2 linked regions of the Coturnix japonica genome follow. The protein of the gene in region 1 interacts with the protein of each later gene in a pairwise test. Links are inferred from orthologs where the notes say so. Each region holds a gene or a part of one and is shown on either strand. Other genes may lie near its edges.

Region 1 (4,140 bases):
TGACAGTTACAGGCTCGCTCTCCTCAGTGGGTTCCCAAACCTAAGGGCAACTGCTAAAATGCAGCCTTCCTGCCAGACCTCGTTGAAAGGAAAAGAGGGAGAAGAATAAACCCTTTTATTATTTTCATCTTTAAACGCTCTTTGCTTCAGATCTTTTATGGCACCCAGCAACGTCTTTGCTCAGTAGCTTCTACACAGGGCGTGGGGAGGTGTTTCTGACTGCACCGCTGCATTTGGCTCATGCTTTGTGTCCTTGTTTTTCTCCATTTTTCCTGTGCAATCTGGAGGATTTTTCCTACTGAGAATCTTTTATTTTCCCCCCCATTAGTAATTCTGGCCTCACAATCCTGTCTACCCACCTAAAACACGCCTATTTAGTTAACCAAATGACTTACTACCTCCTGCCCACCTGTCCCCTTTGCTGCATGACCAGAAAGAAATCTTGCTATGTTTGCTTTGGAAAGGGAAGCTTTTAGAGTCACCATTCCCCAAACAGATGCTGCACTTAAAGCAGCAGCTGGGACGTGCTGGTGAGGCTGAGCTCAGTCCTCATTAACTGCATTTGCCTTGGTGTTCTTGGATAGGGTTCAGCCAAGGGCACATCTAGAGGTTCACATGCTGCTCCCCCTCTCTTTCACTGCAGCTTCTCTTTGCAGGGACATTCATTTACTTGTCAGAGAAAGAAGTCTCTGCATTTGGACACAGAGAGGGCGATCATTTTAAATACCTCGCTCTGCATCCAAGCAGTCTGCAGCTCCCCTTCATCTAAAAACCAAATCAGAAATGCCATATGAGAAACCACAAAGTACCCTATCAGCAGAATCATTTGTTTCTGTGAACTGTGGGCACAACATTGCACAGGTACAAGGGTAGGGAGGGGCTCTGGGGTGTGATAGCAGCGGGATACCTTTAAGAGCACAGAGACTTAGGGACGTATTTTTGCACTGTGGCTGGACTCAGTGCACAGCCATGCGAGTCCCCAGAAAAAAAGTCAACTGATAAAGGTCCATGGACAGCATTAGGTAAGGATTTCCCAGCTGCTGTGGTGAAAACTTTGCAGTTCTCAATGTAATCTTTCCTAAAGTCCTTTCTCTCCAAGGACTACTTTCCTGGATGGGTCCTGCTTGCGCAGAGCAGAAGGGGGTACGTGAGAGCATGTGAGCACCAAAGATATGTGGCTCAGCTCTGGCGCCTGGCCCAGCACCACGCTGAGTCAGCTGGGAGGCCGTGCTGGCTGCGTCAGGGCTGTGCCTGCTGCTGATCAGCAGCCAGCACTCTCTCATGTGAAAAAGCCCACTATGCAGTGCAGTACTGGGTAATTTGAGGGAGGAGATGGCTGGGACAGGCTGGGGGGGGGAATGCATTTCAGCCTGCCAGGGCCTGGTATTTCAAAAGGCAGAACTGGAGCATAGAGAGGACGTGAGAACCAGTTTCCTCCTCCACTGCTGTCTATCTTTGTTTCCTTTTATCTTCCCTCAGCAGCCTGAATAGCTGATGACTGCATGTCAGTGCTTTCTGAGGAAGTGTGGACTAACAGGACTGCAGAATCAAACCTCATTTCTTTCTCATTGCCTTTATTCTGGAAGTCTAACTTTTCCCAAGCCAGAGACTGGGTCTCACTACCTCCAAGAGCTTATGGAAGCTATTGCTTCCTCATAAACGGGTGCACAGGGTGTGCATGGACACTGCCTGCCTAGGATTTGGGTACTGGCCTGCAGGACATGATTATTATTCACTGACCTGCTGCAAAAGTTTGGGAAGGCCCGTAGCCCTTTGCTCCAACCACCAGGCAGGTTTTCAGGCCCTTTGAGCTACAGTCTTGCTTTCATTCAGTGCTGCATCATGTCACCTTGGGTGAAATGCTTAGATGCTGCTGGAGTCCAGGTGGGACCAGAAGAGGCCAGACTTCTCTATCAGCAGCCACACAAGGAAGGCTGAGCAGTGAAGCTCCGGCAGTGGGAGCTGGAAGCTGGCTGTGGGCTGCTTTCCCTGTGGCCTCCCCCAACTCCCAAGAGATTAACCAGCAGGGTTTAGCATAGGAATGAAAAGCAGCTGCCTCCTGGCCTGCCTGCAGATAAAGGGCAGCAAAGGAATCCCAGCTGAATATGCTCCTGTTGGGAACAGCAGCAAGCAGGCAAGGTCAGGCACAGAGAACGGAGATCAAGGGCATTTAAAGACATACAAATCCGCTGTTGTTTATTTTTTTCCCTCTCTCAGAAACCAGTCTCTATCTACAGAGCATTCTGATTGCTGAACACTCTGCAACACTCTGGGTGTCTGTAACACAACCTACACATTCACTTTCCTGAGACAACCATTACTTCTGCCACTGAGCATCAACAGTTCTTTCTTTTGACGCACACAGACCATTGCTGGAAGCCTGCAGAGCAATTACAGTTAGAAAACAGCAGAGCTAGACTGAAACTACACAACTCTTCTTACATTCCAGAAGAATAAAAAACCAAACATGTTCAGTAATAACTAGAACCAAAGAAGTGGACATATACATGTCCATATACAACTCCAAAATGTATTCTGCCTCTGCTTCTTCACTGGGAGCCACAGGACCCAGCTGACATCCAGCACACATGCCTGCTTTCCCTCACTCAGCTCTCTGAACTCTGCTGCCATTTTCAACCTGGACTTGTCAGAGCTCCACAAGCACAACCAGCTCAAGGGCCAGCTCTATCTGCTGCTCACAGTGCAGCGGCACTACACACAAGAGCAGGTGAACTCTTTGATAAGTGGGAAAACTCTATACTAATCGAATTATAAGTTGTATGCACTCGTGCTTCTCTGCTTATGCAGTTAGTAGAGACAAAGAAATATAAATACCTACTGAGGTCACAGCTGGGACCCAACTGCATTCACTTCCCTTGCAATCAAGTGTTATTTACAACTCTACTCTTCAGAGAGGAAGTGCTAGTGTGCTAATACACGAGTCCAAGGGCAGTTTGCCTGTGAAAAGCAGAATGTGATGTTACCAAAGACATCTAACATGGAGGAACAAAGCCCAGAATCCCTGCTTCAAAAATAAATCAACTAAAACCAAGTGCCAAACATCATTTGAAGGTGGGACACTTTTAATCCCTTCTGTATCGAGAGGAATCTAAATGCTGCTGAAAGCTACTTAATATCCCCATGTGATCAACATACAAGCAAAAAAGACCTTTTAACTCAGGAGACAAGTGGAATTGTGGGTGGAAATGTCATCTCTGGCTTAGTTTTGCTAGTGTAGTTACACAGAGTGATCTAAGCAGACTGAGATGCTGACATCAGCTCAGAGATTCAGAGCTGGGGGTCTGAAATCACAATGGATGTTAATTGTGGCTGTTCCAAGAAGGGTTCATCCCCTGCCCCTGGGAAACACACTGAGCTGTCACAAGTCATCTGCCTGCTACGCCCTTCCTGGCACTTCTGGAAGCTTTACGGTAACTTTGTGCATCACAGATGGAAAGTCAGAGGAAAACAAGGACACTTTCTGCTTTAACCTGTATCAGCACATACTCACCGACTTCAAAGGGTCTACGCCTGCTTCACACTGCTGTCACTTTTGATTCCTCGCCTCTACCTGTTCTGTGTCTTGAAGGTGTGTCTGCCTGCTCGATCATTTTATCTGGATAGTCCATAAGGGATATCAACAAGAGGAAAACAAGCCTCTAAGAATCTCACTTATTCGCCTTGTAATGCCAAACCCACACAGTTGGAGGGGGTTGATCAGACAGATCCACTGTGCTTCCAAACAGCCACGAAGAGTTTAACACACAAGAAACTCCCAACAATGTGTCAGGTCCTTCAACTTACATGACTGAGATTTATAAATAGGGCATAAATTAAATACCAGGCTAAGCTCCTATTTCCATGCCAAAATCCACTGCCACATCCACACAGCATTATTTCATTACAGGACAATCGGAGCAGAGGTTTCCAATCAGCTTTGTACCCACTCAGAAATACAAACAGGATCCATTTTTCCTGTAGTGTCAAAGTAACCACAGCTCAATAAAATCCCTTAACTCCCAACTCTTGGAGAACTTTATGTACACAGCCCAGACCCACCCAGCCACACACTTTGGGTTCTGTACATCATATGTATCACTAGAGGCTTCCCTTATGTACGTGTTTAAAGCAGTTGCAGAG
Region 2 (4,184 bases), on another chromosome or scaffold:
CAGTAGATATTTATGGCACAGTTTGAGGAGGAAGTGGATGGGAAACTACTTCATTGTTGCTCACTAGAAAACTCCCCCCTGCTCCCATTGATAAAGCTAAAGGCAGGGAACCATCTGTGCTATCTGTGTGTGTTGGAAATAAACAAGCCTACAGGCCTAGCTGCAGATTCTGAATAGCACATCCTGACTGAACACACCGTTTCTTTGCTTCTATCCCTTACCTTGCAGCAGTAAAAATGGAAGGAAAGCAGGTAAAGAGCTTCAGCTAAAAGAAGTTGTCCTTTTATACATGTTACACTAAGAAGGAAGGAAAAAAAGAACCAACTGGAGCCCTACAAATAAGACCTTTAACACAGACTCAATCGTACAGACCTCTCCTCACATAACATGCTGCAAGTCTAGCAGCTCAAACACTAAGCCCACCTGTTTCTAGAAAAGACTGAAGTAAAAAATAATAATATATAGGACAGAGTGGAATTACATTGCAAAGAACTTGAATACATTCAATAGCACAGATAGCATTCTTACCGGAATATGCGGCAAAGTGATTGTTACATCATCTCCTTTACCCACTTGGATCTCCCCTTCACAGGACGTATCAATCGATGCCGGCTTAAAATCATCTAAGGAGGAAAACAATTGTGGTTATATCTCTGGGAGTCTTCAGAACTTGGAGCCTTTAGAATTCTCCTTTGCAAAAAGGCAATGCACATTCATTGTTGCTACAGGAAATACTAAAATACACAGTAGCTTGCACCAGGGGTGGAACAGTACAACAGTACAACCTGTTCATACTCACAGCCCGACACTTGATGATAATAGATGCAAAATTCACCTTTTAAAGTGGAAGTAAATTACCAGACTGTGTCTGAAAGACCAAAAGCAGGCTCCTCCTGACGTGTGATGCTGCACACAGGTGTGAAATTGTACCAAGCATCCCATAGGAGTATCAGGTCCCAGACCCAGAACCCAGGCTCCTGCCACCTCCAAACCTGAGGACTCCCATCTACATCAAAGGCTAATTGGGTGAGACCAGCTCACTGAGCCTCACTGATATTTCTGACTACTAACAGATATCTTGCCTCTGCAACACCTTGAGAAGACACCTTGGCTCCCACCTATGGGGAAAAAAGAAGGTGCTGATGTTCTTTCACCAGGTTCCACACAAGGCTGAAGCTGCTGTAGATGAATGGAGAGCATAACTGAGGTCAGACACTGCTGCAGCTCTAAGCAAAGCCCCGCTTTAAATAATTTCTGCTGCACTAATGAATTTGTGTTTAGCATATTTATTTGAACTAAGAACATTTTAACTTCAAAGTATTTCCCCCCTCTGATTCTGTCATGCTGCTGAGCCATAAAAAACACGTAACATTGTGACAGAGGATTTAGACAGAATGAAATAAGATCAGACAGCTAAGTATTTCTCACAACCAGGCATCCAATTCCAGCATCTCTGGATACGTAGAGGTGCAGTTACAGTCACAACCAAGACTTTTAATTACTGCATTAGTTAAGACATTAATACCTTAGAAAACCCAAATTTTAATTCTACTTTGAAAAGCACGTTTGCTGGGGAAAGAAAACAGCTTGTAATAAATTCTCATTAAGGGGACGTTAACGTCTAATTGAGTTTCACTTTGACAGCACAACAAGCAGAATCAGGCACACTTGACTTAATCCTCATCCCTTAACTGCCAGACCAAATCACATCTTTCACTCTCATCTGCACAATCTATTTCTAGCTATTGTTTCCCACCTACTTGATGTGCAAGCTTGCTAAATAAAATGAACCAGCTGTAGATGAGCTGGCATCTTTGCCAAAGAGGGATCAAGAGCTTCAATGGCACAGCCGCTAAATGAAAAAACACAGCACAGTAAAATACACTTATTCCAAGCAAGCACACAACAAATTGCTTTCATTCTGAAAGCTCATTAGACACCCATGCTTGACTAGTTTTGCCATAGATGGAGAGCACGTATGTCTCTTCAGGTGTAAAACCCCATCCTTTCACCAGAAGTCAAATAGATGCGTCTCCCAACCTGGTTCTTCAGTACAGGATTTCATAAGCATCCCAGAAAACAATAAAAGTATTTTAAGGAGGCAGAGACAAATCCAGCCTGCAAAATCCTCTTACTGCAGTTTGCATGAAGAGGATTACAGGAATGATATAATGCTCAGTTCCCAGGCAGATCACCCAAGATCAACAATTAGGAAAGAGATAAGTTTTTGCCAGAAAAGAGATCTCACTTGAGTGTAACTGACTGAAAATACAGCACATTAAAACCTCTTCTGAAATCAAAACATACTCTTTCGGTTGTAGCCTGAAGTGCTTTGGCTTTGCAACCCCTGGAGAACTTGATTATGAAAGCACTTTACGTTCTAGAAATACACTGCATTGCTATCCGGATACGGCTTGGGTTTAATTCGTGCACTATCAGACAGCATCCTTATTCCTTTGATGGTCGGGCTATTTTAAATCTTTGATTTATAAGTGGGGATTTGCCGGTGCAGCAGAGCTGGCTAGAAGCATCCAGTGTTATATGTAAACAGCTAAATACATCAAACGCATGTTATGGCATTCTTCAATCTGGTGAACTACGTATGATCAGAGGGGGGAACCACACACCATATAAGCAGACAGAGGCTTCTGTTTGGGGAAATAGCTTTGCTTCAAGCACTGATCATCTCGAGGAACAGCTCCAAGTTGTTCCTTCAGAGCTCACTTTGACCTCACCAAATGACACACTCACAGCCATGAGACTGCACACCCAGGACTACGCATCACATAACAAAAATCTCTAGCATTAATTGTACCAGTTCCCCACCCAATCAAATAGCAACCAAAATACAACTTCTGGATCATTCTCATTTACTTTTGCTGATTAACTCCTCATTTTTAAGCCCTGGGCCTGCTTATAGAATCATAGGGGTCGGATGGGACCTCTGGAGATGACCAAGCCCAACCCCCTGCTAAAGCAGGTTCCCTGCAGTAGGTTGTAAGGATGAAGTAGCAGTTCCTTGAGGATTATTAGGAGACAAAATAGCAATTTCTTGCCCACAGAAATCCAGCAGAGGAATGCAGTGAGCTCCTCTCCCAAACCACCTCCTTAACATGAAACAAAACACATCCAATGCCACAGAAGAACAGTAGGAATGATCTCTGGTGACTTGAAAAATGGCAGATTGCCCCAGTCATTCTAAAACTCTGTTAATGCCAGAGACCATTCCTCAACATTTCTCTCACTCTTCAGAGTTACCACATGTGTGGCAACACTGTGTGAGCCTGAGCCACTTCTCGGCGCTTCCCCATCAAGTGACTTCCCATCTAGATCGCTAGAGGAGGGGTCGTGGGATCATGACGGCAACCACCTCCATCCATTCAAACTTTAAATTCAAACCGCGGCTCCTTGAGCTGGGCCCGCGTTGCCATTAAGGAGAAGGATAAAGGAATACAAGCGGCAAGCCGTGCTTCCACGGAAAACTTCAGAGCCTTCGCCCACTGCCCGCTGAGACCCCGAGGGAGGGGAGGAGGAAAGGGGGATGCTCACGGGGGAAACGGGCGCAGTGAGAAGGGAGAAGGAAGGGCCGGCGGGAGGCACAGCCGCAGGGAGCGAGGGGCGATGGAGGGGAGGGACCCCCGGGAGGGCGGCGGGCACCGCGCGGCCCACGGCCCCAGCGCCGCCCGGCGGGAAGGGGCTGAGGGCAGGGGGCTCGTCCGCGGGAGGGAGCGGGGCGGGGAGGAAAGACGCGGCTGGGCTAAGCGGGAGGAGAAGGGAGGGCGGTGCTCACAGCGGATGGTATGGAAGGAGGCCTTGGGCCGCCGCTCGAAGCTCTCGCCCAGCTGCAGCGGGTGCTCCTCCTTGTCCAGCAGCGGGTTCGCCGAGCCGTTCATGGCCCCGCACCCCCCCTGTCCCGTCCCGGCCGGTCCCTTCCTCTCCTCCGCCCGCCGTGTGCGCTGCCGCCCCGCGCCCTTCCGGGCGCCGAGTGCAGCCGGGAAAGCGCTCCGGGGCCCACGGCGGCGGGTGCGGAGCGAGCGGCCAGGGGAGCGGGACCGAGCGGGGCTGCGGGCCCCGGGGAGGGGGAGCGGGCACGGGGGAGGGTCCCCCTCGCTCTCCGCCCTCGGGAGGGCAGGACAGCGCGGGGCACGGGGACAACGCGGCTCAGGAGCCGGCGCCGCGGGTAG

What was found.
Region 2: the proteins of HOMER3 (region 1) and EAF1 interact in binary tests that used the Homo sapiens proteins (3 or more experiments, as listed by UniProt). The two-hybrid records come from large-scale screens. The link is inferred for Coturnix japonica from reciprocal best matches to the Homo sapiens genes HOMER3 and EAF1.

What each region holds. Positions count from the first base shown.
Region 1 is NC_029543.1:2,743,559-2,747,698, reverse strand, and holds the start of HOMER3 (homer protein homolog 3), read right to left. Parts: upstream 2,959-4,140; 5' UTR 2,868-2,958; coding exon 2,836-2,867; intron 1-2,835. UniProt on the Homo sapiens protein: Postsynaptic density scaffolding protein. Binds and cross-links cytoplasmic regions of GRM1, GRM5, ITPR1, DNM3, RYR1, RYR2, SHANK1 and SHANK3.
Region 2 is NC_029517.1:38,120,197-38,124,380, forward strand, and holds the start of EAF1 (ELL-associated factor 1), read right to left. Parts: upstream 2,954-4,184; 5' UTR 1,357-2,953; coding exon 1,083-1,356; intron 624-1,082; coding exon 529-623; intron 1-528. UniProt on the Homo sapiens protein: Acts as a transcriptional transactivator of ELL and ELL2 elongation activities.